Linked DNA regions of Canis lupus familiaris. The protein of the gene in region 6 interacts with the protein of the main gene of each other region in a pairwise test. Links are inferred from orthologs where the notes say so. Each region holds a gene or a part of one and is shown on either strand. Other genes may lie near its edges.

The links.
Region 1: the proteins of SPG21 (region 6) and MTUS2 interact in binary tests that used the Homo sapiens proteins (3 or more experiments, as listed by UniProt). The link is inferred for Canis lupus familiaris from reciprocal best matches to the Homo sapiens genes SPG21 and MTUS2.
Region 2: the proteins of SPG21 (region 6) and PRPS1 interact in binary tests that used the Homo sapiens proteins (3 or more experiments, as listed by UniProt). The two-hybrid records come from large-scale screens. The link is inferred for Canis lupus familiaris from reciprocal best matches to the Homo sapiens genes SPG21 and PRPS1.
Region 3: the proteins of SPG21 (region 6) and AKIRIN2 interact in binary tests that used the Homo sapiens proteins (3 or more experiments, as listed by UniProt). The two-hybrid records come from large-scale screens. The link is inferred for Canis lupus familiaris from reciprocal best matches to the Homo sapiens genes SPG21 and AKIRIN2.
Region 4: the proteins of SPG21 (region 6) and FAM114A1 interact in binary tests that used the Homo sapiens proteins (3 or more experiments, as listed by UniProt). The two-hybrid records come from large-scale screens. The link is inferred for Canis lupus familiaris from reciprocal best matches to the Homo sapiens genes SPG21 and FAM114A1.
Region 5: the proteins of SPG21 (region 6) and DTX3L interact in binary tests that used the Homo sapiens proteins (3 or more experiments, as listed by UniProt). The two-hybrid records come from large-scale screens. The link is inferred for Canis lupus familiaris from reciprocal best matches to the Homo sapiens genes SPG21 and DTX3L.
Region 7: the proteins of SPG21 (region 6) and RTN4 interact in a two-hybrid assay, tested with the Homo sapiens proteins (2 studies listed by BioGRID and IntAct). The two-hybrid records come from large-scale screens. The link is inferred for Canis lupus familiaris from reciprocal best matches to the Homo sapiens genes SPG21 and RTN4.

The regions. Positions count from the first base shown.
Region 1 is NC_049246.1:10,823,101-10,827,200, reverse strand, and holds part of MTUS2 (microtubule-associated tumor suppressor candidate 2), read left to right. Parts: intron 1-2,790; 5' UTR 2,791-3,031; coding exon 3,032-4,100. UniProt on the Homo sapiens protein: Binds microtubules. Together with MAPRE1 may target the microtubule depolymerase KIF2C to the plus-end of microtubules. May regulate the dynamics of microtubules at their growing distal tip.
Region 2 is NC_049260.1:81,769,443-81,773,542, reverse strand, and holds part of PRPS1 (ribose-phosphate pyrophosphokinase 1), read right to left. Parts: intron 2,689-4,100; coding exon 2,505-2,688; intron 1,333-2,504; coding exon 1,234-1,332; intron 156-1,233; coding exon 31-155; intron 1-30. UniProt on the Homo sapiens protein: Catalyzes the synthesis of phosphoribosylpyrophosphate (PRPP) that is essential for nucleotide synthesis.
Region 3 is NC_049233.1:47,344,734-47,349,370, reverse strand, and holds the start of AKIRIN2 (akirin-2), read left to right. Parts: upstream 1-1,626; 5' UTR 1,627-1,730; coding exon 1,731-1,965; intron 1,966-4,637. UniProt on the Homo sapiens protein: Molecular adapter that acts as a bridge between a variety of multiprotein complexes, and which is involved in embryonic development, immunity, myogenesis and brain development.
Region 4 is NC_049224.1:74,008,742-74,012,841, reverse strand, and holds part of FAM114A1 (protein NOXP20), read left to right. Parts: intron 1-1,104; coding exon 1,105-1,266; intron 1,267-2,632; coding exon 2,633-2,772; intron 2,773-4,100. UniProt on the Homo sapiens protein: May play a role in neuronal cell development.
Region 5 is NC_049254.1:26,315,043-26,318,051, reverse strand, and holds the end of DTX3L (E3 ubiquitin-protein ligase DTX3L), read right to left. Parts: coding exon 2,606-3,009; intron 2,124-2,605; coding exon 1,906-2,123; intron 823-1,905; coding exon 753-822; 3' UTR 599-752; downstream 1-598.
Region 6 is NC_049251.1:29,794,247-29,798,346, forward strand, and holds part of SPG21 (maspardin), read right to left. Parts: intron 3,048-4,100; 5' UTR 3,024-3,047; coding exon 2,961-3,023; intron 321-2,960; coding exon 159-320; intron 1-158. UniProt on the Homo sapiens protein: May play a role as a negative regulatory factor in CD4-dependent T-cell activation.
Region 7 is NC_049231.1:57,225,113-57,229,895, forward strand, and holds the start of RTN4 (reticulon-4), read right to left. Parts: upstream 3,034-4,783; 5' UTR 2,774-3,033; coding exon 2,206-2,773; intron 1-2,205. UniProt on the Homo sapiens protein: Required to induce the formation and stabilization of endoplasmic reticulum (ER) tubules. They regulate membrane morphogenesis in the ER by promoting tubular ER production.

The DNA.
Region 1 (4,100 bases), on a different chromosome or scaffold from region 6:
GCACACTTACCTCTTTGGAGATGGTATGAAAACAGAATGGAATGCAAATATTTTGTATGAAAAATTAAGAATGGGCCCAAAAAGTTTTAAATAGGATAGAACAATGGACCTAGACCAAAAAGATGAAGTTCCAGAGGTAGGTTTTTATGGTCCTACCCATGGATGCTAAAAACCAGCTATAGATTTTTAGGATTGAATCCCTCTAGATTAGCAGTGACTCCTATAGTACTTTGGCATTTCAACTGATAAAGAATTAACAGGATGATTTGTGCGGCCATGGAAAGGACATTCTTAGATCATGTAGTTAGAGGTGTAACTAAGTGAATGGAGGTCTTGGTTTCACAGGACCCTGGATGATGCACCTAAAGCTGGAGTATTGTGTGCACCTGTGAGTAGCCTGTTTAGGAGAGACTTCAGGTTCCCCAGGGCATGGATTTAGATGGTGGGAGTTTTCTAAACATACTCCAACAGTTGGGAGAATATGAGTTCTTTAACAAGGAAAATAGGTTTGGAGGAGGAAGGGAGTATAGTAGCTCTTTACAGATACCTGAAGGGTTGTTTCTGGTGGAAGAAGGATTGTAATGCACTGCTCTAGAGAGGCAAATCTCCACTCTGGGCTAGTTTGGTGGTAGCCCTGCATGGAGGGCTGTTGGGTTGCCAAGAAAGTTGATGGATCTCCTGACACAGGGAGATACTGTGTAGATACTCCTACTCTAGCAGTAGGAGCAATACTTGGAAGACTATTAAGCATCATAGAGACTACAAGCCTATAAAATCTTTAAACTCCTTTTGGACCTAGAAGTTAATTAATGGATTTTTTCTAAGATAAAATACCATTTACTTCTAAGGTCATCAGTCTTAATTTTTTATAGTAACAGATGTGAAGCACATGAAAATTGCATGCCTCACTCTGGGAAAATGCACCTCACGTGGGTGCAGTTAGCACAGTTTGTTAACATATTTATATGTATTGTTTAATCATACAGTCCTGTATTATGAGTCTGAATTTGTATGATCATGTCGGGAGAAGAGTCCACATTCTGTGCAGATGGAAGAGTATAAAGGCCCCAAAGCAGGGAAGGAGGTGACCAGTAATGTGAAGGATGAGGACAGTGTGCCTGCAGTCTGGAGAGTAAGAGGATAAGTAGTAGGAGGTGAGGCTGGAAAGGTGTGTAGGGGCTGGATCATGCAGGCCCTGAAGGCTGGGATATGATTTCCTCCAACTTCTTATTTTGAAAGTGTTCAAAACTATAGAATAGTTCTAGGTGTTGTAGAGTGGGTCACCTAAATTTGCCAATTATTATCCTTTGGTATAGTTCCATTTTCTCTTTCTCTCATACACACACACACACACACACACACACCACACACACTTCTCTTTGTTGAACCATTGGAGAATAAGTTAGCACATGCCATGTCTAAAGCATGTCATGTTTAAAAGCACATATCTTCCAAGAGCAAAGCATATCTCGGATATATTCACAATACTAAGAAAGTTAACATGGATAAAATACCTTGACCTAATATACAATCTGTATTGAATCCTTAATTGTTCCAATAATGTCCTTTGCTAACTTTTTTTTTTTTTTTTTTTTTTTTGAGAGAGAGAGGGAGGGAGAGGAAGAGAGAAAATTGTAAGCAGATTCTACGTGGAACTTGAGGCAGGGCTTGATCTCACCACGCCTGAGATCATGACCTGAGCCAAAATCAAGAATTCTATGCTTAACTGACTGAGCCACCCAGGTGCCGCTAGCTTTTTTTTTTTTTTTTTTTTTTCAATCTAAGATCCAGTCAAGGAGCATGCATTGTATACAGATTATACACTGGCATTTTGGGGGTATAGGCCAGTTATTTTGTAAAATGTCCATCAGTTTAAATTTGCTTGGTTACTTCCTCATGATTAAATTCAGGTTGAACATTTATAGCAAAAATACTACATAGGTGATGTAAGCACTGAGAACTACCTAACATCAGGAGCACATGGTATCAGCTTCTGTTATTGGTTTTAAAAATTGATCACTTGGTTAAGGTGATATCTACCAGATTTCTTCATAGTAAAAGTAAAATTTTCCTTTTATAATAAAGTTATCTTGGGGTGCCTGGCTGGCTCAGTTGGTTGAGCATCCAGCTCTTGATTTCGGCTCAGGTCATGATTTCAGGGTTGTGAGATTGAGCCCTGCATCAGGCTGCCTGCTGAACATGGAGCCTGCTCAAGATTCTCTTTCTCCCTCTCCCTCTACCCGTCCCCCACTCCCAGCTCATGTGCACCTGCTTTCTCTCTCTCTTTCTCTCTGAAAAATAATAAATAATCTGGAGAATGGTACCTTAGGATTCTGTGAATATCCTGTTCCCCAACAATCATTCACCTGATGTTTTTCACAGCCATTGGTTGCAAGATAATTATTACTTTGGTGATTACAAAATGGTGACTTTTTTTCTAACGGTATGATTTTTCTTATGTTAGTTGGTATTATTCTGTGAAGAAGAACTTTTCCTTCTCCTCCAGCCTTTTATATCAGTATAAGTATGAACCTGTGGATATTTTAAATTTGAATTTAAGATTTAATATGTTTTATAATCCATTTCTAACATTAATCATTTTATGTTTTAATTTCTCCATAGTTGGCCAGCAGGCACACTATCAGAAAGGTTTCGGAGAAATTTATGGACTGAGTGAATGAAATAATAATATGAAAATTATGAATAAATCTGTATTTTCCATGCTTTTTTCTCCTGAGAACCTCTATTTGTCAGTGCCAATAACATGATTTTATTTTTATTTTTCTCTAGGTCTTATGGACTAATTGGCTCTCATTCAGCAGGAACCTAACAGATAAGTCATCCTGCTGTATGTCAAGACAATGCTTGGTTTTAAGACTGCTCTGAAAATGATTAAAGTGGTATTGCAATGTGACATTGTCAGGGGGCAAGAAGCAGCTTGAGAATTTCCCATTAATCAAATAGCCTTGAAGGAAACTTCTTTCCATTAGGTAGGACTGCATGGCCAGCAGCCCCCACTGAAGGGTTGAAAATGAGTGTCCCAGTGGCTCCGAAGAAATCATGTTACGCTCAGTTGCGGGACAACAGAAATGGAGTGAAAAATAATAATGAGAGTATCCTAAGTCTGGGGGATACAAATGCCAATCAAATCATGTTGGAGGTCAGTTCCTCTCATGATGAGTCCGAGACACGTGACCTGACAGATGAAATTGGAAATGCAAATTCAAGCGAGCCAGAGAATAGTACCCATTTCAATAAGGAATTTCACCAATTTCAGGGCTTTGGGAAAGGATCGCAGGCTGGCCCTACCAGTCTGAAAGATTTTAAATTTTCCCTGACCGTCCACGGAGGACTACATGACGAGCACACAACGGAGAGAGGCACAGATATCCTCCAGACCCCTCGCAGTGTTCAGGGACCAAGTCTGTCAACTTGGAGGAATGTTATGGCTGAGGCCAGTCCAGAGGTTTTGGCTAAAAGGGATGCTGAACTTCCCCGGCATGCTCCTAAGGATAAGTTGGCAAAGACCCTTGACAATGAGGAATTGCGAAGGCATTCTTTGGAAAGAGCGAGCAGCTCTGCCGTTGTAGCAGATGTTCCCATGAAGGAGCACGGTGGAAGCCTTGGTGGGAGCCTGACCTGGCAGCGTCTGCAGCCTGCGCCACTGGACTCCCCTGAAGCCCTGCGTCCTGAGCCCAGTGGCAGGGAGGGGCCACAGAAGATGTTGACAGCCCCCTCTCGAGGAGCAGCTTCTCCTCCAGCTGACAGTACCTCAGAAGGAAAGAGCGTGTGTCATCCTAAACCATCTACCTCAGCAACCAAGGAGACCACCCCTGTAGAGACCCAGAGGGAGAGGGCACAGGGCCCAGACTTGAGCAATGAGAGCACATCACATTCTGCCCATCCAGAGCCTGGTCTGGATTCAGCCTCAGCACTGAAGGGGGTCCTGAGGAAGCCAGAAGCACAATTAGGTCAGGGGAAGGGAGAGCTCAAGCCGGAGCTGAAATTTGTCCAAGCCAGGGCTGTGCAGGAGTTCAAGGCAATCCAGGCCGAGTGTCTGGGGTGCCCAAAGGAAGGTGGCATGTTACCCCTCGAAAGAA
Region 2 (4,100 bases), on a different chromosome or scaffold from region 6:
CTTTGAGAATAATAAGCATTCTGGCCATACCTCTTAGCTCCACCAGCATCGGGTGAGACAATAGTACAGTTCCTCCACTCAGAGATGTTCTCCCTTATCCACTTCAGGACAGCTGGCTCTGCATACAAATTGTCCACTGGGATATCAAAAAAGCCCTGAAGAAAGAAGCTGAGTCACTTTTGCTTTGTTTTCTGCACTTCCATTTACAAATGACTGCTGATACAAAGAGGTTACTAACTTGCCCAAAGAATACCTTCCTGTTAGCATTCCAACAGATTAGAAGTCATGCCCAGTGTAGCAGACTAGAATGGGCTCCTCAGGCCTGGGCTGCACAAGAGGCCAGCCGACAGGGAAGCAGCCTGCCCTCAGCTAACCCATGGCTGTTCATAGGAACGTGAAAGTGAGCCCTTGGAAAGATCGGCCCATTCAGCCCATACCAGAACGGCCCAACATGCAGACTTGTGAGGTCATACTTACTGCCTTACGCCACCAAATGTTGGGCTGGCTTGTTAGCTAACCCAGTTAGAGATGCTTTGATACACAAGCTTAGTGGAATATATCTATTATAAATGGCCACACAGAGTAAAGAGAAATCAGGAGATCTGTGTTCCAATACTAGGTGCTATAAGATTAGTGGTGCTTCTCAACAGATCTGTTTCTCTTCTACAGAATGGGTAGAATCACCTACCCCATGTACCTCATTGGATTGCTGCAAGCCTCCAACAGTGATCTGAAAGTCCCTTTAAGCAGTACAAAATATAAGGTAGTATTCTGCTCCCTTTATTCTATGTTTATGCTAGAAAGTATGCTGATAGCTGTGGTTCTCAATTTGATGATGACCATTAACAGTTCCTATTTACTAAACACCCATCCTGGGCCATGCATTCTACCATCAATTTCATACTCACAGTTAACAATGCGGCATGTATTCAAAGAAGTTAAATAACTTGCCCAAGGTTATAAAGCTGCCAAGTGTCAGAGCCAGGATTCAACCTCAGTTTGAAACCAAAGCCTCTGCTCTTCTCAGAATTCCAGACTACCTCCCTTATCCAACTACCCCAAAGCAACTAGGACCAGGAACAATGCTTCAGGTAAGGATGCTTACAGTGATGTCAATGTCTAGTTACTTTGAGCTGTATTTGGGCATGTGTTTGCTTCTCTGCAGTCTCTAGCATTATCATTATTATTCCTCCCCCGTCCCTTTCTAATGTCAAATATTTAGCTTCCAGATACCTGAATCTGAGAAGCATGCAGGTCCATGGTGATAATATGATCCGCGCCTGCCACAGAGAGCATATTTGCCACAAGCTTGGCTGAGATTGGAGCCCGGCTCTAAATGGGGGGGAGGGAGAAAAGAACAACAAAACCAAAAAGCCATTTTGAGACACAATCCATTTGGTCAAGAAGCATTTCTTTATTGTGCACTTACTATGTTTAAGGTACTGCACTACAAGGAAATTCATACAAGGTGCCATGGCCATTGGCTTTACGAGTAAATCACAATCTAGCACAAATATTAAGTGCAATATCACTTTTTCAAATCAGGATGTTTTTCAAAAAAGAAAACTACCTTCCCACCTTTTGTTTTCTTAACTTAATGTAAACATTTTCAGCCTATCAAGTGTTCCAATGATCAATTATTTAAACTAGGTAGACTTAAAAAAAATCTTTTTCACAAGAATTTTAAAAATCTCTTTTAATACATACATACTCAAACCTGTATGACATGTAACAGGTCAAAATTTAAAGCTCTAGCACAGAATAGAAATTATAGTTTATTTTGTAAATTAGTACCACTCATCCACTCATCTGGAGGTCAACCTTCCAGCAACTTCAGCTTCCTTAAATAACAGGTAAATATGCTGGCTGCAATATAAAATAGCAAAGCCCATGCTCTTTATACTCTGTAGGAGCACTACAATCTCTCAGAATAAAAATATCTGGCCTTCTCCCAGACATTGTAAGGAAACTTTGGGCACTGATTATTATAATAGTCCTGGCAAAGTTTTATGTATATACCTTAACCTCTAATATACCAGATGAATGAGGTGAGATGTGTATGTGTATAATGAGACCAAGCATTCATGTAACCAACTTTAAGTTTTACAGAAGAGGTCATAGCTGAAACCCCAAGAGGGTCCCAGGAGATCTACCATAGCTTAAAAAATCTTTTCCACAGTAGCTGGTGTTTAGTCCTACTGTCACAATTAAAAAGTCATAGTGAGCTAAATGAAAGTCACATACATATGACTGGAACAAATACAAACTACCAATGTGTTGGTTTATATAAACCAACCACATAGCGATTGTTTTTGAACACTGGGTAATACCTATGAGAATGCAATAAAAAAAATAATACCCTCTAAATATGCGTCTGAGGATTAAGGATTTGTGTGTGTGTTTGTGTGTGTGTGTGTGTGTGTGTGTGTGTGTGTGTGTGTGACTTTGGGCAAGTGCTTCTCCTGATTTTTTAAGTTTTTTTAAAAAGGAGATTCTGCGCTCACCTTATCCTTCTTATCCTGCCGGGCATAAGGGAAGCATGGGATGACTGCGGTAACCCGGCTGGCTGAAGCAATCTTGCAGGCATTAATCATGATCAAAAGCTCCATTAGATTGTCATTGATTTCGCCACAACCACTCTGAACAATGTAGACATCCTCTCCACGTACGCTTTCTCCAATCTCCACGCTACAACAAGAAAGGAAGGAAAGCAAAAAAACAAATAAGAGATTTTAAGGCACTATACTACACTTCTACAGACAGTGAGGTCTAGAAAGTATAGCTTCCCTACTACTATGCTGCTCATGGATTATAGCACAGTGGGGGTCATGTGGACACTGATCCCTTCAGACTTTGGGTGATCCCCTGGAGAAGCCCCAGTACCAGAAGCAGTTTTACTGCCTTAGTTCAAATATTACCTACTTTTTCTTTTTTAAAGATTTTATTCATTTATTCATGAGCAACACAGAGAGAGGCAGAGGCATAGGCAGACGGAGAACCAGGCTTTCTGCAGTGAGCCTGATGCAGGACTCGATCCCAGGACCCCGGGGATCATGCCCTGAGCCAAAGGTAGAAGCTCAACCACTGAGCCACCCAGGCATGTCAATATTATCTACTTTTACATGTGATATGGCATGAAGAAGATTGGCTAAAGTACTTACAAGTAATTGGACATAATTTCAGTGAGCTGCCTGTATCTCATTTCATATAGGAATAGAACATGTAAATGCAAATTTGATACAGAATCTGGGACTGTCAAAATCCACATATAACAAAAGCAGAAGGATCACGTAAGGAATGAATCACTACTGTTCTATAATGATGCCTTCTACGGAAGCCAGTATCACATCTACCATATCGGCACTTCACTCAATAAATAGTCAATGTTCATATGTCAGTCACTTCTAAGTGCCAGAGACACATGCAGAATAAAACAGATGTGGTCCTCCATTTTATGCTAACTATATTCTATCGAATTAGTAAGTCTTGTTTAAAAAAATATTCCACAGGAATTTAATTATGGAGTAGGGCTATACTTTACCATAAAATGAAAATTTTAATATCCATGCTTGGATCCTTACCAAGAATAACTTATGATTAAAAATCATAACCTCTGTGATACCTCAAAGCAACACCATTTCCCCAATTAATCCCATAGGTGAGGTGGGGGTATTTGTGGGTGTGTGTGTGTACAGTACATAGTGCGCATTCATCAGGAGTAGGTCAGAATAATTGGTAACTCCCACTGATCAAGAGAAAAAGTTGAACAAGAGGTAATTCCATTACCAGAAACAGCTGATACAGTTGTTAATTAACATTTATTCCTTTCCAATCCAAATAACAGTTAATTTTTAAAATAACGGGGTTCGTTTATATAGTAAAGCAAAAAAAATGAAGAGCAAATGGTAAAAATACAGAGGGGGGAATACTTTTCCAAGGCATTTTACGTTTTTACAAGGCCAGTATTCACGAGACACCTGAACCAGACAAAGGCAGCATGAGAAAACTACACAGAGGGAGAAATGGTGCAGGTGTGGTTACAACAGGAAGGAGCCTTGTGGTGACAAGATGGTTTTGTATCTTGACTGCATCAAGTTCCA
Region 3 (4,637 bases), on a different chromosome or scaffold from region 6:
GACACAATGTGATCAGAACTGCTGATCTTTAAGGTGTTGAACAATTCAATAAAACAGGAATATATTAAACTAGTCACAAATGAGGAATTATCGACAAAATGGTTGAAATGTCTTTCAGTTACTAAATTGACAATGGGAATACATAAGTACTATACTGAAACTAGTATAGTGATATCCAAGATCATTAGAGAATATGGCATTCACATGATCATTTGAGAATATGGCAATAACTAGTTTTTGTATTGGACTGGGGATAGCTTCCATAGGCAAAAGACTGGTGACAATTTTTTACATTATTACTACCGTATTTGATTGTTATTTTAGGTACCTGAGTAGCAGTACAAAATTTCCTCTTTGCTTATAAAATGGGTTCATTATCTACTCCTTTAGACATTTCATTATGATTTTTTAATTTTTAGAGTTCAAAAGATATACTATACTACAATATTCAACAGATAATACAATTTCTGGTATCACTCGCTTTTATCCAAAGCAAAATAATTTGGCTTTGTACTCTTTCAAATTTATTCGTTTACAGGGTAAACCTGGTTTTGCAGAATTTAATAAATGGATGCAAGCAGCTACCTGGGAAGGGCAAAGCATCCAGTTCACTCGAGGATCCTGTAATCTGATACTAATAATGTTGCTCTCCCTTTCAGTCCTAAGTATGTTCCATAATCTCAGTATTTCCTAGCCTCTCATTGGGACAGGTTTTGTTTTTGGCACTCTTATTACCGAAATTAATCTGTCTTGAACTGTTGGGTTGGCTAAGTTTTCTATTTCCCATTTGTTAAATCACTGTGGGAATGGTATCAGGACAACTATGTCCTGAATTTTCAAGGTCTTTTAAGCCTATTTTCTGCATCAGTTGGCTTTCCTCTCTTCCAGTCTCTCCCAGGCTTTTCTCTTTTCCCCTTTTGCTTAGCTCCTTTTACACTCAAGCCGTGTAGGGGATTTAAATTCCAACCCGGAACTCGGAATGCCGCGCCTTGAATGACGGGAATCGTAGTTTTCGTGACTCCTCCCTAATCGCTTTTCACGCCGATTCCCTTCCACAGTGAAAAACGACAACTCCCAGAATGCGCCTGCGGGGTAGCCACCCCTGTGCGCACGCGCCCTGAGGCCGCAGAATTTGAATCGGCGGCGTTGTTATTGACGCCATATTGGGGCCGGCGGCGGGTGGAATAGTCGTACAGAGGAGGGGGAAGCGGCTGGACGTGTTCGATTGAGCTCCTGCCGCCGCCTCCACCTCGCAATCCCTCCACATCGACCGCCGCTCTCAAGCTGCTGACCTTACTCGGGCTTACTCGTGGCCGCGTTCCAGCCTCATACCTGACGGGGCTGGTTTCGACTTCCGAAGGGAGCCGGTCTCAGCGCAGGAGCGCCTCAGGCGCGGCGCAAAGCTCGAACGGACGGCGGGGGCGGCCGGAGCCTCTCCCGGGGGAGCTGTGCCTGAGGAGGCGGAAGAGCCCCCCTGACGCGGCTGTCGTGAGCGGCCGCCACCGCCCCTCCCGCTCTCGCCTGGGCCGGCCCGGCCACTGCCCCTGCCGCGGCGGCAGCGGCGGCGGCGGCTCTCGCGTCCTCGCCGGCGCTGCACCACCCCGCCTTCCTGCTCTTGAGCCCGTCGGTTAGGCTCTCCTCGGGTCCCCGCTCCCCCCCCGCTTCCCTCACCCTCCCCTCCCGTCACCTCTCCCCGACCCCACCCGAGTCCGGCCTCGGCTGCCCCGGCCATGGCGTGCGGCGCCACTCTGAAAAGGACTCTGGATTTCGACCCGCTGCTGAGCCCAGCGTCCCCGAAGCGGAGGCGATGTGCGCCATTGTCGGCGCCCACCTCGGCTGCTGCCTCTCCGTCGGCGGCGGCCGCCGCCACCGCCGCCTCCTTCTCGGCCGCCGCCGCCTCGCCGCAGAAGTATCTCCGAATGGAGCCGTCCCCCTTTGGCGACGTCTCCTCCCGCCTCACCACAGGTGGGACTCGGCCCCGCGGCCGCCGGGGTGGGCTGGAGAACGGGGGTCCCGGGACGCGGAACCCGGCCCCAGGGATGGGCTTGCCGGGTTGGCCGTCCTCCTTCGCAGAAGTAGCAGTGGAGCGGCCGCATTTCTTCAGTTGGGTCCTCTGGCCCCGGCGACACAATAGAAGTGGCCTGGTGTCAAAGGGGTGGGGGAGTCGGGAGGTGGGGAGGGCAGGGGCTGTGCCTTGCCGGGTATTGTGGGGAAGAGGAAGATCCTTTTCTTTGGGCTGAATGACTGGAATGGAGTGTTTCCGTAGTCTGGAGAGCCCCAGCGGAAATGATCAGAGAGGGTGATATTATTCATAAATTTAGGCGAGAGAAGAGTAACGTTTCGCCCGAATCTCGATATCTGTCTCCTCGAATCGATTGGTCGCAGCCCTTAACTGTGGGACTGGGTGGTTTGAGGCGAGGCAGCAGCCCCTCCTCCAGTTCAGACATGGCTGATTTTAGTACAGAGGGGGTGGGGGGTGGGGATGGATGTCACTGGGGCGAGATCTAGGCCTGTCATTAATCACCCACAAGAACGCCACTTTGGCTGAGTCAAGACCTGTTTCCCTAGCAGGGTCAACAACAAAGAAAATGCTCTTCCCGAGTACTGTAATATGATCGTACTATGCGTCTAGACCCTGAGAAACTTGAACTTTTAATGAAAAGCGAATTGTACTGAAAATTGGGCCTGAGTAGTTGCTTCTGGTTGGAGGTGCTTTATTTCTCAACAGGGTACGGTGGGGTGGCGGGGGGTGGGGGGGTGGAGAACAGCCTAGGCCTTGAGAGTAATAAAGAAATCAACCCAAGACTCTAAGGCACTTAAGACTGTCTTTGCTTTTCATCTTGAAACATTTCCTGAAAGTGACTATGGGGAAATGCCTTTTGGCTGCTTTGTACTGCATGTGTGTGTGCCCAGTTTTTTCTGTACTTTGAAAATCCTTGTGTGCCCCTGGCACAGTCCTAGGATAGGCTTTTTGTGGACTGGTAGTGTAAATCTCTTTGTGAGTATAGTATGCAAAGGTTTCATATTTGAGCCTTTAGTGATATCATTTGCAGACAAAGCCTTTTCATAGTTTAAGTGTTTTATTATCAGCTTTTAAAAAACCCGTGGGCAGTATATACCTCTATATTTGGTAACTTCCATTTGGAATTGTTTCGTTCAAGTCAGGTTTTTAAATATCCTTCCCCAGATTTTTAGGGACACCCTCAATGCCTAGGCTACCATTTCTGCTATTAAATATTTGACTAACTTAAGGATACACTATTTTAGAGTTTTAAAGAGTTTTCAGAAGAATTCTCAGTTTTATTTAGTAACTCTGCCTAAACTGCCTTGTATGTAAAGGCATTGGTTGATTGACTGTTAGGCTTTGCATTAAAAGACAATCAGTGTTATGAGCTGGTGATTAAATTATTTTTAGATTTTTGTCTTTTTAGTCAAATGATACTGAAAATTGAAATGATACCTAGGAATCCGTACTTAACAAATAAGGCCACTTAAAAATAGCCCTGGCTAACTAGCTATAAATTTCAGGGGAGCCGGTGAATTAATACAGTGTTAGGTTTGGGAGTTTAGTGTTAGGTTTGGGATATACTTTAGTATATCTCAATGCTGCAGTAGTCTTGAGCATATATGATTAACCAGCCAGGAGCTATATTTGTCTTCACTTTAAAGGGAATTTATTCAGGATTGTGATCTTTTACAAATCTGTCATTTCATTGATGCATTTGTAGCATTGGTTAATGCTGTTGGCTCCACATTGTCTCAAATTTCAATTGAGTGGATGATAATTTAGTAAATGACTGGAGTAATTGAAATTGTTTAAATAAGCCTGATGTTTCAAATTCATGTTTTCCAAAATATTGCTGTCATCTTCGGGGTGTTTTTAACATCTATTCTGGAAGTTTGATCATATCCTGAACTCTTAAAATCACAGCCTAATTGATCATTTTGAGCCTGCTAAAAGATTTAATTTTTTCAACCGACTTGAGTATTAACAGAAAAAGTTGACTTGAGGAAAGCAGTTGAGATTGTAAAGTTTTGAATTGCTAAAATTTACTTTTTTTTTTACTGTAATTTTGAATGATATTCTACATGAAGTTTAATTTGGCTTTTGTTTTTAGATGGCCAGCTTGGGTAGGCTCCTGTGTGGTTTTTGTAATGATGTCATAATGGGAGCTGCAGTGTTGTGCAGGTATAAAAGACCTTTTCAGTTATCATGTCCCCAATCTTGGAAATAATTTTTCCAAGCACTTAATTTTTAGATTTTTGTTTTAACAGTGGTGATTCTCAAACTTTGCAAGAGTAAATATCTGTATATCTGTGGCTGAAATAAATAGCTAGGGTTGGAAATGGAAAGTGATTTACCAAGTTGAGATTGACTAGGACTCTGCAGAAACTTTGTTTTCCTTTCATTTCTGTCCGTTCAAGTGTAATTTAAAAATTTAGAGCTAGAGTACTGAAATTATTTTTTTTTCCAGAACATGCATATAATTTATTGTTTTATCATTGTTCTTTTCTGGAAACTTAGTGTGTTTTGACGTGTAGTTGAAATGATGTTCTGGCTTTACTAGTTTGAGGAACTTGGGATTTCAACCCTAGTTTATTTTAGTCATCCCAGGAAGGTGATTCGAAAGTTTGAC
Region 4 (4,100 bases), on a different chromosome or scaffold from region 6:
TGTGTATTTTTTTTCCCTATTCTCTCTCTCTTTTTTCCTCCTCCTCTTTAGCAAGCAGTAGGTGACGCAGGCCCTCACTTATCAAGGTGGGTGAGAAAAGGGCAGGATGAGGCAGTGAGGGGGAGACATGAGTAATTTCTTTATCTCAGATAGAGGTCACTGATTCTGACAGGTCAGTGACTTGAACACAGTGGGAAATTGCCTCATTCATCTCTGTGCAGCACCTGCCCCTGCTCCAGGGCGGAGAGAGAGAGAGCGCGAGAGAGTGTGTGTGTGTGTGTGTGTGTGTGTGTGTGTGTGTGGTGCCTCCAACATCCCATGGGCCTGTTGATATAGGTGAGCTCTAAGATGAGAAGAAAGTCTAACATAAGCTCAGATACGACTTGCACTTAAGCAAACAGCTTTAAACTCCAAGGATCAAAGCTGGAGGAGTCTGCCCTTTGTAAATTCAGGGAATAACAGAGAAGCTGCTATGCCTGTTCAAGTTAGCCATAATTTTTTCGGCTACAGGTGTCTCCAGCGGCACTTGTGTGAGATTAAACTAGTCACAGAGCAGCTCCAGGTCTTTCCAACAGCCTCTCTCCTCCCCTGACATGACTGGGGAAGAGCAGAGCCATCCTTCATCTTCCCTGCTTGATACATTATTAGGTTCATGATACATTAAGGGCTTCATGAGACATATCAAATGAGGAAATTTGCTTTAGCAATGACCCTGGCTAAATCTCTAACCCATATATATAAAAAAAGTACTGTTATTCTTTTATAGTTGGTCATGAAAAGTGAAAAATATACTATTGCTCTTTCAAGGTGACAGTCATTTTTTATGCCTATCTGTGTAGCATTTTACAGTGCTCCTTAAACAGGTCCTGCAAGGTTCTCTCCATACTTCCTTTCTTTTCTGTCCCCCTTCCTTACTTTAGATTCACCAGAAGGCACCAACATGGTGTTTTTAAGGAGCCTAGGGAAATGCCCCATCGCTTTTTGAATGTACAGAGAACCACTGTGGAAGGTGTAGGGCAACTGGATTCTAGTCTGGGAATTGGAATTTCTTAGTCTCCAAATTTGCATAACAAATGAGTTGCTTTGGTTGGGGGTGCTTCACAGGCCATGAAGAAGGCTCATGACTGGGTGGAAGAAAATCAAGCTACAGTGTCAGTAGATATGATGGAAGAGTCGGAGGAGAACACTAAAGAGGAAGAAAAGGAAGAGAGACCAGAAAATCCCAAAGAAGATAAAAAAGAAGAAACGAAAACTAAGACAGTTGAGGTAAATTTATTGGAGATTAGCCACCTAAAGAGCACTAATATGTTTTTTAAAGATTTTATTTATTTATTCCCGAGAGACACAGAGAGAGGCAGAGACACAGGCAGAGGGAGAAGCAGGCTCCCTATGGGGAGCCCGACGTGGGTCTTGATCCCAGGACCCCGGGATCATGACCAGAGCCAAAGGTAGACGCTCAACCACTGAGCCACCAAGGTGCCCCTAAAGAGCGGTAATATTACTTTAGTTTTGTTAGCTGAATTTCAAGTGAGCAGAAACCATTTCATTTTCGTTTGTACCCTGTTTCAAACAGTATAGAAATATGAGGATTAACGTGATAAACACTAAAATTTCTCAGTGCCAAGACAATTCGGGACTTAGCATAGATATTGTAGTTTTTCTCCAGAGCTTCACGATGATAATTGAAAGGAAAAAAAAAAAGATCTTTAAGAACATAGTTGATTTATCATTAGGATAAAATTCCATCTGATATGCAAATGTGTAACTATAAAATGTCTTTATGCCCCATAAACTAATGAGGTAATTGAAGCTTTTTTCCAAAAAATTTCACGGCCGTAGTTTTTAATCTGTAATTTAATAAATTTATGTGTGCATAATTTATAGCCTGCCTGTGTTCACAAATGAGTTTGCAATAACTTCATCTCTACATTGAATTTCCATTTTAGAGAAAGTAACTTTTTATTTTTTTTCTTTAAGATTTTATTTATGTATTTGTGAGAGAGAGTGAGTGGAGGGAGAGGGATAGAGAATCTGAAGGAGACCCTGCGCTGAGCGTAGAGCCCAATGAGGGGTTCAGTCCCACAACTGTGAGATCATGACCTGAGCCAAAACTAGGAGTCAGATGCTAAACCGACTGAGCCACCCGGTGCCCCATGAAAGTAACTTTTTAAATCCTGTCACTTTAAAGACAAATGGCCATTGAGGTTTATTTATTCGGTTGCCCTTCTGAGCACCTCCCTGTAGTGTGTGCAGAACTGCTCTGAGAAGTAGGGACACAGCTGTAAGGCTTGCATGTCACCTGGGACCTGGAAGCACTGGCATTTGATGGCAGCATTTTTACTTAGAAGAGTCTCAGATACACTCAGTTAATCTTTGGGTAAACTTTTCAGGACATTTTTTTCAAGAATTACATCTTTTTTTTTTTTTTGACATTATAGGGTTGTTGTTGTTGTTGTTGTTGTTGTTAAGTAAACTCTATCCCCAATGTGGAACTTGAACTCACAACTCAGAGGTCAAGAGTCACATGCTCTACCGACCGAACCAGCCAGGTGCCTTGCGTCACAGGTTTTTTTCTTTTAAAAAAAGCTTCTGCTCGGTGAATAATTGTCTTACTTGCATTTATCTATTTCAGGAAGTATATATGCTATCCATCGAAAGTCTGGCAGAAGTAACAGCACGCTGTATCGAGCAGCTTCATAAAGTAGCAGAATTGATTCTTCACGGACAAGAAGAGGAAAAACCAGCGCAGGACCAAGCAAGAGTGCTGATAAAGTAAATGTTACTTTTAATTCTTATTTTTCCAGTTTTATGTACACAAGCCATTCAAATGCACACACACACACAAGCACACCCATGCACCCACACACCTGGGGCTACTAAAGATTTAAATTACAAGTTCTGAATTTGCATAATGTTGTTCTGTGGTCATCTTAGGAAATAGAGTCTCTTAGGAGTCATAAGATTCTTAGCTGAATCATGTTAGCAAGAATAATAATAATTAACTAGGATTTATGAAGAGATTTAAGGAAAGACACACTACATCATTTCAAAGGTAAGTGTTTATTTTCGTAGATCGAAGTCTTAGAAGCACGGACCTTTAAGGGAAATCGCATTTTTAACGTACTACAAGAATAGAGAAAGAACACCTGGATGCGACTTATACCGCTTTGCGTATTCTGAATTCTGGCAGTGATGGTTGTTGATGTAAGCCAGTTCCCTGTGGATTGCATGTGTGTGCATATGTGCTGTCATATGTTATATTCTTCAACAAATAGTAGCCATTATTATTAGTTTATCTAGTGAAATAGTCATGTGTATCAGTGTAACCTTATATACATGAAAATAGTTGGTATGAAGCATATATTAAAATAGTTGGTATGGAGCTGAAAAACAAGCTGTTAACTTTACGCGCATGACTGTATGCCGTGGTATAGAAAATTAGCACAGATCCAAGTACCTTCTCGTTACTACACAGACACAGAAGTCAAAATAGAGCCTCCTAAAAATATATGAGTACAGGCACACACATCTCAATACACCCATTTGCTTTGCTAGCTAACTAGTCTTTGCTTATTACTGCATTTGGCCTTGTAGATTGGGGAGCAAATGTTTAGTCAAAGAACCTTCCAAAAAGTCAATGTTAGCATCTTTGTCCTACTGGTAGCACTTCTCCTCACTTGTAAGGATGTCTTACAAGTCTAGATTTCCCTATGTGAAGATGAAAGATATTTTTTTAAAGATTTTATGTATTCATGAGAGACAAAGAGTGAAGCAGAGACACAGACAGAGAGAGAAGCAGGCTCCCTGCAGGGAGCCTGGTGTGAGACTAGATCCCAGGACCCCAGGATCACGACCTGAGCCAAAGGCAGGTGCTCAATCGCTGAGCCACCCAGGCATCCCCAAAATGAAAGGTATTATAAAAACCGTACAATCCTGCACTTAATGGACTTAGGAAGAATATGTACTTACTTCAGTGTGTAAAAGGAAGAAGAAAAGGAAAAGAAGGAAAAGTTTAAAGTATTGAGGAAAACACCTAAGTGCTCTTTTATGTATGTGGCACTTGTTTGTAAAGGGAGAATGTTAAGAAGTCTCTAAGCATG
Region 5 (3,009 bases), on a different chromosome or scaffold from region 6:
ATAAAAAAGAGTATCAATTGACAGGGACGCCTGGGTGGCTCAGCGGTTGAGCGTCTGCCTTCGGCTCAGGGCATGATCCCCGGGTCCTGGGATCGAGTCCCACATTGGGCTCCCTGCTTCTCCCTCTGCTTGTGTTTCTCCCTCTGCTTGTGTTTCTGCCTCTCGCTCTGTGACTCTCATGAATAAATAAATAAAATATATTTAAAATTTTTTAAAAAAGAGTATCACTTGTCAGCTACTATTTCAACTGAAGAACACAGAAGATGATTTCAGACTCACGACACTCCACCCCCTGCTCCCCCAAAGATGACCCAAGAATGAGGCACAATAAAATTACACAGATATTTGGAGCTTTTATCTTCCGTAAAAAGTAACACTCCAGAAATGACAGACTAGGAGATTCTTACTCTTACATCTACGACTTCTTGAAATGAAAAATTTTATTTTATTTATTTTTAAAATTTTTATTTATTTTTTAAAAGATTTTATTTATTCATGAGAGAGAGAGAGAGAGGCAGAGACACAGGCAGAGGGAGAAGCAGGCTCCAGGCAGCAAGCCCAATGCGGGATTTGATTCTGAGACCCCAGGATCACATCATGAGCCAAAGGCAGATGCCCAACCGCTGAGCCACCCAGGCGTCCGGAGAGGAAAAGTTTTTTTTTTTTTTTTTCGGAGATGAAAAGTTTAAAAAGATGTTTCTTCAACTGTGTCTTTTGATAGCTTGGCTCAAGACATCCTTCCTGCAGTCTTCTTACTCAATTCCTTTATCTTTCAGCTCCTGTTTGACACGTTTCAGATAATCGGGATCAGGGTAGCCATACCTGCAGAAGGAAAAAGGTCCTTAACTTCTTCACAAATGGTCTTAAAAAAATCTGTACAGTAGATTAACATGTAGTGTTGCAAACATTCAAAAACAATCCTGAAGACAGATGACTGATAATCACTTGTAAGTGTGCAGATGTAAGTGCTCTGCCTGGTAAGTGAGCCTAGCTGTCTGCCCAGGATTGGCCTTGAACAAGACTTTTTATTTTCAGCTCACGGTAAGCAGTGACTCTCCTAAAGTCTAATAACTACACTATATTTTTATGGAGGGCAACCATATTCTACAGAAGAATTTTCAAATTTGGGACATTTTTGAAAAGCTTAGGATGCATTCCCTTTTGAACACTAAAGGGTCTGAGGCATTCTATTTGGGTTTCATAAAGGGCAAGTAAAGAACAACTGGATTGCTGATGATACAACTTCCACCACTACTAACTGAGACTTTTCCTAGAGTACTATTGGCCAACTGATTTTAGGATCTCTGTGGACCATTCGGGAGGGGAGGGTAAAAGAAAGGGTGATTTTAAAAGAAGGCAAAGTAAATAATACATAAAATATTACTCAGCCACGAAAAAGGATGAAATCTTGCCATTCGCAACAACATAGATAGACCTAGAGGTTATTATGTTGGGTGAAATCAGAGAAAGACAAATACCATAGGACTTCACTTATATGTGGAATCAAAAATACAACACACACACACACACACACACACACACACACACAGAAACAGTCTCATAAATACAGAGAAGAAACTGGTGATTGCTGGGGGAAGGGGGCTAGGGATGGGGTGGGGGGTAGGCAAAAGATGGACTAGGAGGTGCAACTACCAGTTGCAAAATAAAGGACAGACGGTAACTACACTTATCATAGTCAGCACTGGGCGATGTGTAGAATTGTCAAATCAACTGTTGTACAACTGAAACTAATATAACATTGTATGTCAACTATATTTCAAAAAAATACTTTACTGTATCCAATCCCACTGCTCTACAGTCTCCTTACAGCCACCTCCTCAAACTGCCATATTTTACAACCTCTAAATCCCGCTTAGCAATCATTATGTTTCAGAAGGTTCTCACATTTGTGGCCCTCCAACACGGGACGTTTTGTGGTGGATATCATTCCATGTAACGACATCTGAGACTCCTAGTGTTCGAGACTCTCCCACTGTGAAAATCAGCTTTTGCTCAAAGGCTCTACAAAGCAGTCTCAAAACCTTATTTCCTTCTTCATTATTAGGCAAGTATGCTGTTCGTTGTACTCCAGAGTATTTCTTTCCTGGGTTTGGGTGCTCTTTCTGTGTGAAGACAAAAAAAAAAAATATCACATGAAAACACTCCCCAAGTCTGAATTTTACTATACAGATAGATGTACTCATTTGCAGATGGAGTAAATACAAAAAAAAATACCGAAGGTTTGCATATATTTGCAATAATTCCTATTTCTCTTTTTCCCTAAATTCTTGCCAGAAATACTATCCATCTTCTGACTTGCCCCATTCTAACACATAGTCACCACCCACTTCTTCTCTGCCTTAGCAGACACAAAAGATACCTAAGTTATCAGCAAACATTGGTACCTTTATTACTGTTGTTGTTGTTGTTGTTATTATTATTATTATTTAAGGCCCTTGAATATAGAAATATATATGAAAATACATTCCATGTATTTTTCCATTTATGGAAATAATTCCTCAGGAATCCAGAGACAAGAGAGTCTCTTTTCCTCTGATAATTCTAGCATCCTGGAAAGAAACCCATGTACCTCAGAAACACTTACTGTTTGTATGCCTCCTTTCATGTTATAATCAATCACAATGGAACCGCAGGATTCATAACCTGGAAGTGAGTCTTTTAGGAATGCGAAAGTCATGGTTCCCTCTGGCTGATTGCCTGTCTGGATGCCATAGGAAGTCTGGCACACGGGACAGACCGGCTTATAGGACAAGGCTTTGTCGATACAAGGGGTGCAGAATGCGTGCTTGCACTTCAAGAGCACGTGTTTGTTCCTGATGATGTCCATGCAGATGCTACATTTGTCCTCTTCCTTGTCCTCCCCTGACCCCCCAGAACTGACAGAGTGCTGGAGTGTTGGGGAAGCCATTTCTGAATCATTACTGTCAGTGTCCATGGGTGTTTCGTGGTCCTCATTCCCTTGATCTCCAGCCAACAGGGACAATTCCA
Region 6 (4,100 bases):
AAACAAAAAAACAGGAAAACAGTAGCTTCCTTCAATTAAAAAAAAAAAACCATACGCATTATAATTAATCAGAAACATAAGCACACACATAAAAAAGAAAAAACCCCACCCCCACGAAATGTGGACTTGAACTGTAATACTGAATCCACAATACTTACAGCTATAACCCGGTAACCCCATCCAGTCAAAGCCAAAATCTGCCGGAAAAATACATCTGCAGTTCCACTGACAGGGGGAAGAAATATCAGAGGACACCTGATATTTCTGGGGCCGGCATCGTACAGTGACCATATTTTACTATCATCATCATCCACGATAATCTAGAGGGAAAGTTATAAGAAAAAGATATGGAAAACTTTATGGATTTGGTTTTATATTGTTACTGTCTACTATAATTTCTCTGACAACTTTAATGCCTTGGTGGTTACAAGGTATCCTGGGATCACACCAGACTAGCACATATAATAAACTGCATTTGGTCTCTTTTTGCCCTCCTCAGTGCTAACATATTATACACAGAATTGCTTCATACTCTTCCAAAGAGTTTTTTTTTTTAAATCAGTTTTCAATTTTCCTTCCCATCCATGATTATATGAAGCCTATTTTATTTATCATTAAACAGTAAACTGTTCATGGCATCTTATTTCTTTCCCATACTTCTGGCTGTGTGTGTGTGTGTGTGTGTGTGTGTGTGTGTGTGTGTGAGTGTGTGTGTGTCTAGGAGGCAATTTGCGGAGTCATTCTCCAGCGCTGTTCAGAAGGGAGAAAAGACTCCAAGCTCTCAGGACAAACTAGGGAGAGACGGTACCACTCAGGAGATGCTTCTGGAACCTGATCTAGGCAACACCTCTGAGGGAGAGATTTTTGCTAAGATAGGAAGGATGCTGCCGCTGTAGGTGTCCCTGTCCTGGAAGAATGTTTCAAACCAGTCAGGAGTGGGGAGTGGGCACAGGGAAAAAACTGGCTTTCTTGGGAAAAAAGGGTAGGGAGCAGGAAGGTCATCACAAACCTTCCTTAATTAGTGGTCCTTACACAACAAGGAAAAAGGATGAGCTTTAAATGAACTGAGACAAGTCAAGTGCTCAGTGCTGAGTTTGGCAGATATTTTGTGTTCAGTGTTAGTATTATTCGCTGTGTGATTACTTTTTGTTTTCTTTGACTTTTTGGTGGTATTTGGAAAAGTACATTAACTGCCTGAACTTTTGCCAATGTGAATCAGTATTTATCCTACTTTTACATTAAAAAATTCAAGGCCTCCAGATTCTGTTTTCTGAGAGCTCCTAGCTGGAAATACTGCGGGTCCATGGTGTCATTGCAGACAGCAGCACACTGACTGGGATCACAGGTGTCACTGGGAGCAGTCAAATAGGGCAAGGTAAAGTCCAGTGGATCCTAACAATTCCCTTTTGGACTTCCCTGGGTCAAAGATGATGACAATAATAGCTCATACTCATGTTTTTGCACTTTGTATTTTGCTCCTCACAGTTTGGCTTTTCATTGTTTTTCGGTTTTTCTGGGTTTTGTTTTTTTTGCTGTTGTTTGTTTTGCTATAATTGTGGTAAAACTCTCTTAACAGCCTTTGACAGTGCACACAGTAAATCCCAATCTTGTAGTAATAAAATTCCCAGAGATAAGATATTCAGATCTCTAAAATTTTGTAGGAAATGATTTTAATAATTCATTTGGAATAAGTTTATCACTTCAATGTTCTCAGAGCTCTTTCAATGGCAATTTTGTCAGAATTCTATCTGATAATTTTAGAAGACACAGTATCTCTTTGATAATTTAAAATCTAGCACCATGAAATTTCAAGCAAACTTATCACAATCACGGACAGATGGACTGAACTGACAGCTGGAGAAAAGTACATCAATGAAGCTACTTGCTATAACTACTTCTAAGAATATTTCAAGAAGTTTGGGTTGCTTTGGGTCTGGTGATCAGCTTGCTGAGAAAGTGAGTCCATCAAGAGGAGCTCACATGAGTTACTTGAGGGAATGGGACAAGGTAGAGGACCCCAGGAGCTAATCATCTTTTGGCATGGGCGGTAGTTTCCCAGGGAGCAAGAAGGAAGGGAGGCTCCCTTTGGTTACCAGTCAAGTACTTCTGGCTTTGATGCCAGACTAATTTGATTATGATCCAGACTCTACCAAGCTATGTGACCTTTAACAAGTTAACCTCTCTGAACTTCAGTTTTCTCATCTGTGAAATGGGCACATAGCTACCCATGCTTTGTTAAAACTGTTAGAAGAATTAAATAGTGCTATTACTATAGTGACAGTTATACGGCAGATATCCTGTTTATATTTAGAAAACTGTATCTCAAATTTCTAGATGGAGAGCAGCTATGTTATTAATTCAAATCTGTATCGTACTTCCACAGCTGTCTACCCTGACAAAATGATTTTAACAAGATATAGATGATTTTCAGATCATCTTAACTAGCTTTTGTTAATGTGATCCCCAAACATTTGGGATTAATTAGGAGCTCAGAGTCAACAGTCAAACTTCAAGATAAATGCTTAGGGTTTTTGGACATCCCAGGCAAATAAGGTTTCCTGAAGACAACTATCATTGCAAATATAGGATTTATAATGTTACCCAATGTAACTCTTAAATCTGAAGAATAGGAAAAGGCTTTATAATAGAATCTGACTGTACCTACTATATAGTTGTTGTTACTGCAAGCTTTCCACCAAACAGAGTACACATATTTCTGCTTGCTTGAATACATAAAAGCAATTATAAAATAATGAGTATAGTTATACACCCACTTTTACTCTTGAATGAGTCTCAAAATCTGATAGCGCTTGACAAAGAGGTGAACTTTACGCTCTGCAACCCAGAGTCAGGATACTTGGCAATAACCTTTACTCTCAAACACTACTAAGGCATAACATCTAAGTCACAAGAACAATACATGATTTTGCAAATAAGAGGTGTAGTAAAATCATACATACCTTTTTAAGGGGAACTGTACTTCTAAACCAGTTATAATCAGGAGAGACTTTAATCTCTCCCATGATTAGCTGAAATGGAGGTTAACCCTGAAATAAAAGCATGTGATGTTTCATGTCAAGAATTCATGTTTACATCAGAACTAAATGTAGAGTCTGCTCTAGCTATACCAACAGTACTTTATATGGTAAAACCAAGGAAATGGGCTATTTTACCTTGTCAGAAAACAATTTTGTGAAATCCTATAGTCATAAAGCAGGAAGGGGCCCTGAGAGATAATGATTTTAACTCCCTTAGTTCCTCCAGATGAGGAATCCAGTCTAGAAAATTTCAATGACTTACCAGAGATCCTATGGCTATTGCAGAGCTAGGCCCAAAGGCAGGGAGGGGAGTCTTTTCTGACACTGACTGCCTGTCCTAGTTCAACGACTGCAAACTGCAGTGCCCTCACCTATGTGTTGACAGTACCTTAAAAATCCACTTTAACAAAGAGGTCTGATAAAATTATAAGGAACAGTCCATGCTAGAGAAAGGAGGTGATTTAAGTCTGCCTCCTGATCACTCCACAAAATGCTATAAATCTAATTCTGGTTGAACATAACTTCAGAACTTCATATGTAGTTCCTAATGTAAGATACAGGAAAATTTGCTGTTCACCTTGTTGGTGTGAATAAAAATGATATAACCTCCTCTGAAAGATCTATGATAAAATACCAAGAAAGGCTTGAAGGCAATAATTATTCCTATAATTAGGAATAAAACATATGTCTTTAGAAAAAATATGTGGTCTTTTGTTGTAAGATTAGTGATTTCTAGCTTTTATATAGCTCTGTGACCTTGGAAAAGTCACCTACCCTCTCTGGATGTGTTTTCTCATCTCTGTTTCACCACTCTATCTCCAGAGCCTACAATAGTGTTTGGCACAGAACACGCATTATTCATTGGCTAAATGGATGACTATGTCCTAAGAAGACTGCATCGGGAAATCCTAGAGTCCCTTTTGACCCAGGCCTCAGAGCTTTGGACTGGCTAGGCATCTTCAATTGAAAGGCTGCCCCTCTTTGCTCAGGCATCTGTGTTATGTCCTAATAGGAACCTGAAATTACAGTTCCCATTGCAGATTCTTATTGCCAAATGAGGAA
Region 7 (4,783 bases), on a different chromosome or scaffold from region 6:
AATTTTCCATACCACCATCCTTATCACTATTCTGAGTTCCTTATTTATGTGCTTATTATCTGTACTCCCCTTATGGAGAACAAATGTGTCTTGCTTATTGCTATACCCTCACAGCCCAGAAGAGAACCTGTCTCTTTGTAGGTAATCAATCAATCATCAATTGAATGAATGAACAAACTGCTAAGAACCCGAGACTCACAGAGATGGCTTAACTATCCATGACTATAATCATGGATGTTCAGTGATTTACTAAAGCACTTAGGTTTCCAAATAGCTATCATCAATACAGAATTAGGGAACTTTATAGAGATAAGAGTCCCTGAGTAAGCAATATTCTCTCCTTTGTCTTCCAAACTTAGTATTCCACAAGTCAAAATTCCAAGAGAATGTCACCTCCTGAATCCCTAATGTTCAAAGATCAGAATTCCTCTTTGTCCCCATGCTGGAATACAAGATGAGACAAATCAGTATTCCTTTGTTAATCATTAGATTTTCCATTTGCAGATTTATCACTTTTTATTTTTCTACCTCACCTTAGTTTCTCTTACACACTTAATTCAGAAAATGAAACACTGAGTTGCTCTTCATCTTCTAATATCTTTAGTGTAATGATTTTGTGTAACGTGTTTTGAGTTACTTGTGTAAAGTGTTTTGAGTAACGCTTTGGGGTATGTCATTATCAAAACGTTATTCAGAAACATCACAATTGGCTTACTTCCCCATTGTGGAGGAATGAACTGAAAAAAATTTCATTTTCTCCTGGAAAATGAACCATTTGTAAAATCCTACAAGGAAAGCTATAAAGATCTCTCAGCAGGCAGTCACACTACCAGATTCTTGCTCTTTTATACATAAAAAGAGGTCCTACTGCTTGCTGGTAGGACACTTTCTGCCCCCCAAAATAACAAGACTTAAGCTAATAAACTCATAACTTGTAAGATTCTCCATCTCTAACAAATTTGATTTTATTCTCTTCCAAAATAAACAACTTCCCAAAAAGGAAAAGGGTAAGGAAACAATGTTCCTTTAAATATATACATACATGCAAGTACTAAAGCGAATAAAAAAAAAAAAATTTGGAAACTGTTTACAGACTACTATTGCAGATTTGACCTAAAACATGTAACTACTAAGAAAGAGTATCTCTAACCGCTACGTGAAAAAAAAATAATCTTTCTCAAAACATTAAGTCTCCTGGCTGGCTAATCCGCCACAAAGTCAATTGGCCTATTCGCGGCCAAAAAGAAAAAAAAGAAAAAAAAAAAAAAGAAAAAAGGAAAACAAACAAACAAACCCCACAGGTTTCCCTTCCCTAAGAATGTCAACCATTTTGCCTCTTTTCCTCTCCGATTCAAGAGCCCAAACCACCCTGGCAGCAAATCCTCTGGCTCAGCAGCCAGGACCCGGTGGGAGAACTGCGCCTCCTCGGACCGCGGATGCTCAGATCCCACTTCCCCGGCGCGGTTTAGCTGGGGAGTCGCCACATCACAGCCCGAGGAGACTGGGCGGTGGCAGGACTTTGCCAGAACTCTCGCCTTCCCAAATCCGCACGCGCCACACCACTGGAGGCGCTCTCCCGTCGCGGCGGCTGGGTCAGGGTGCATGTTTTCCACTGGGCCAGCTCCCCGCCAGCGCGAGTGGAGAGGGAGGGGAATGAGGCGCTGCGGGGGGGTGGGGGTGGGGGGTGACACCCAGGCCAGGGAGAAGGTGAGCGGGGGTGGGGGTGCAGCGCAGGGCTCACGGCTGCCAGACGGACCAGCCGCAGAACTGCGCCTTTTCCCTGGGAGCAACCCAGACTGGCAGACAAAAGATTACGGGCGCCAAGGCCTTTCCATCCTCACCCGGGAGCCCGGCCAGCCCCCCGTATCCACAACGCTAGCTCCTCGAGGCCAACCGAGCTCCCGGTACGGGCGGGTGCCTAACTTCCGGGACGCAGCAGGATAGGGACCAGAGGGAGGAGGCCGGGAGCAGGCGGGGTGCACGTGCTCCCCGACTCCGAGACAGACAATAAAGAACAAGCCCGGGTTTCCGCGGCCGCCCCACCCTGCTCCTGACGGCTCCTGCCAGGGGGGGCGCCTTCGCCCGGAGGTCCACGGACAAAGCCCCTCGGGGCGGGGAAGGGGGCTCCGCCCGAGGCAGCGGGGGGTGCACACAAAAGACGGAGGGGAGCGCGGGGCTGCGCGGGGCGGAGGGCGCGGCACTCACCCACTGAGCCTGAGGAGCCTCTGCGCTTGGGCGCGGCCGGCGTGGAGGGGGGCGCGGCGGGGGCCGGGGCCGGGGGCGTCCACGCGGGCTCGGCCTGGGGGCTCACGCCGGCCGGGGGAGGAGGGGGAGGCCGGGCCGGAGGCTCATCGTCCTCGGGGAGCTTGGAGGGCGAGGCTGCGGCAGCGGAGGGCAGGGAGGGCGCGGGCCCCGCGGGCGACGTGGGGCTCGGGTCCCAAGACGGCGGCCGCTCCGGGGCGGCGGGGGGCGCGGTCGGCAGCGGCCCGCGGGGCGCGGGGGGCACGAAGTCACTGCCGAAGTCCAGCAGGGGCGCGCCGGGGACGGCGGCGGCGGCGGGGGGCACCGGGGCCGCGGACAGCCCGGCGGCGGGCTTCCTCTCCAGCACCTCCAGCTCCTCCAAGTCCTCGTCCTCGTCCTCCTCGTCTTCCTCCTCCTCGTCTTCCTCCTCGTCCTCGGGGTCCCTCACGAACTGGTACTTGAACGGGGGCTGAGGCCGGGGCGGGCTGTCCGAGGACGAGGAGACCAGAGGCGACTGGTCCATGTCTTCCATGGCCGGCGGGTCGGAGATGCTGCTGCAGCGGCTCGTCTCCACGGGACGCTGCTCCCCGGGGCCGCGGGCGGTTGTGGGGGTTGGGGAGGACTGACAGGGGCCGGGCCGAGAGAGCCCGGAGACCTGCAGTGGCGACGGCTCCCGGAACAATGAGACTGCTCCTCCTGCCTCTGCGCCCGTGATGCGCCACCCGCCCCGTCCCCAGTTGCCGCCACCGCCCAGGCGAGCGAAGGAGAGAGGCCAGCCGATTCTCCGCCCCGTTTGGCGTGACTTACCCTCCCCGCGCGGGGAGAGGCAGGGACTGGCGCGGGAGGGAGGGAGCCAATCGCCTACGGGATAGAGATGACGGGCAACCATCCGGCCCAATGGAGAGACGGAAAGAGAAAAGTGGGTGGGGCCATTTGGACTTCCCCTCTCCTACCGGCTGGGGTGAGTCCGGTGGGCGGGGCTTGGAGCTGAGAGCCCCACCCTGCACCTTGGGTCAGATGCGGGGTGGGCGGGGGTCGCGGCTTTGCCCAGAGCCCGAGGGCAGCGGGCGGCTCGGGTGCCGCGTGGGCTTGCGCGGGGGCGGGCGACCTGCCGCAGGACTTGCGGGTTCCTGGCCCGCGCCCCCGGAAGGGCGTTATCCTGGGGGATTGGGGGTGGTAACTTTCCTCCCAGGAAAGGAAAAAACCCAGAGTGGTTGAAAGGTACTATGAAGTGTAGGCCCTAAGGATTTGAGTGTACGCTAAATATTAAAAGATTTTGAAATTAAAAGATTATTTTTTTAAAGCTTAAATGACTGGACCACCTCGTTACTACTACTTTCACCACCTTAAAAAGAAAAAAAATTTATTTTTTTTTTTTATTTTCATTTTTTTTGGAGAGCTTTAAGGTCGTTCTCTGTCCAAACTGCAGACTCTGGATGAGGTAGGCAAAACAGAGCAGGGCTTGGACCGTCTGGAGGACTGGGCCCATTTCAAAGTCTGCTCATCCAGGAGGGTTTGGGGATCTGCCTGCTGCTGGACTCGTACGTGGTAGAAGGATGAGTCACCCAAAGAGAGAGAGAGAAAGAGGAGGAAAGTGGAAACATAATGATGCCTTGGAAGGCAAATTTGATTCACATTACATTTCAGTCACCTTAGGCTCATGAGTCAACATTTAAGATGATTCAGGCCTTCTGGGAGTCAGGAAGCCCGGTATTCATTTGTTTGATAGGCTGGAAAGAGCATAATCTCCCCCGTTCCACTTTTTCCAAGACTGAAAAGGAAGTTTAAAGGAAAGTGGTCGAAAAAACATAAAAGTATCAGCATGCAAAAGTTTAGAGAACCCCTTTTATGTTTCTGGTATACCTTACAAAAATATTCACTGCATTCCTATTCTGGAGGCCCTGGAGACAGAGATAACTTGCTTTCAGATAGCTCACAGTCTAGGACCTCACTGTCCAATATATTAGTCATCAGGCCACTTGTGGCTATTGAGCCTTTTAAGTGTGACTGGACTGAAATGAGATATGCTGTAAATTTAAAATGCATACTAGAGGAGTGCCTGAGTGGCTCAGTTGGTTAAGCATCCTGCTTGATTTTAGCTCAGGTCATGATCTCAGGCTGATGGGATCCAGGCCTGGGTCAGGCTCCTCCATCAGTCCAAAGTCTGCTGGAAATTTTCTCTCTCTCCCTCTCCCTCTCCCTTTGTCCCTACCCCCCAAAGTAAATAAATCTTTAAAAAAATAAAATGCACACGAGATTTTGAGTGGTAGCAGCAAAAAATGAAAACACCTCAATTTTTATATGCTGACATTTTATCATTGATATTGTCAATATATTGGAATAAGTATACTAAAATTATTGTCACTTTTTTTTTTACTTCTTAAAGGCAGCTTCTAGGATAGTTTAAATACACATATGATCACATCATATTTCTGTTGGACACTGCTAGTCTAAATGATTAAGAAATTTTGATTGCTATGGGGAATCATTGGTTATTTAAACAAATTCTTAGCTCAAACTAATTAATATTACTCTAGGCTTA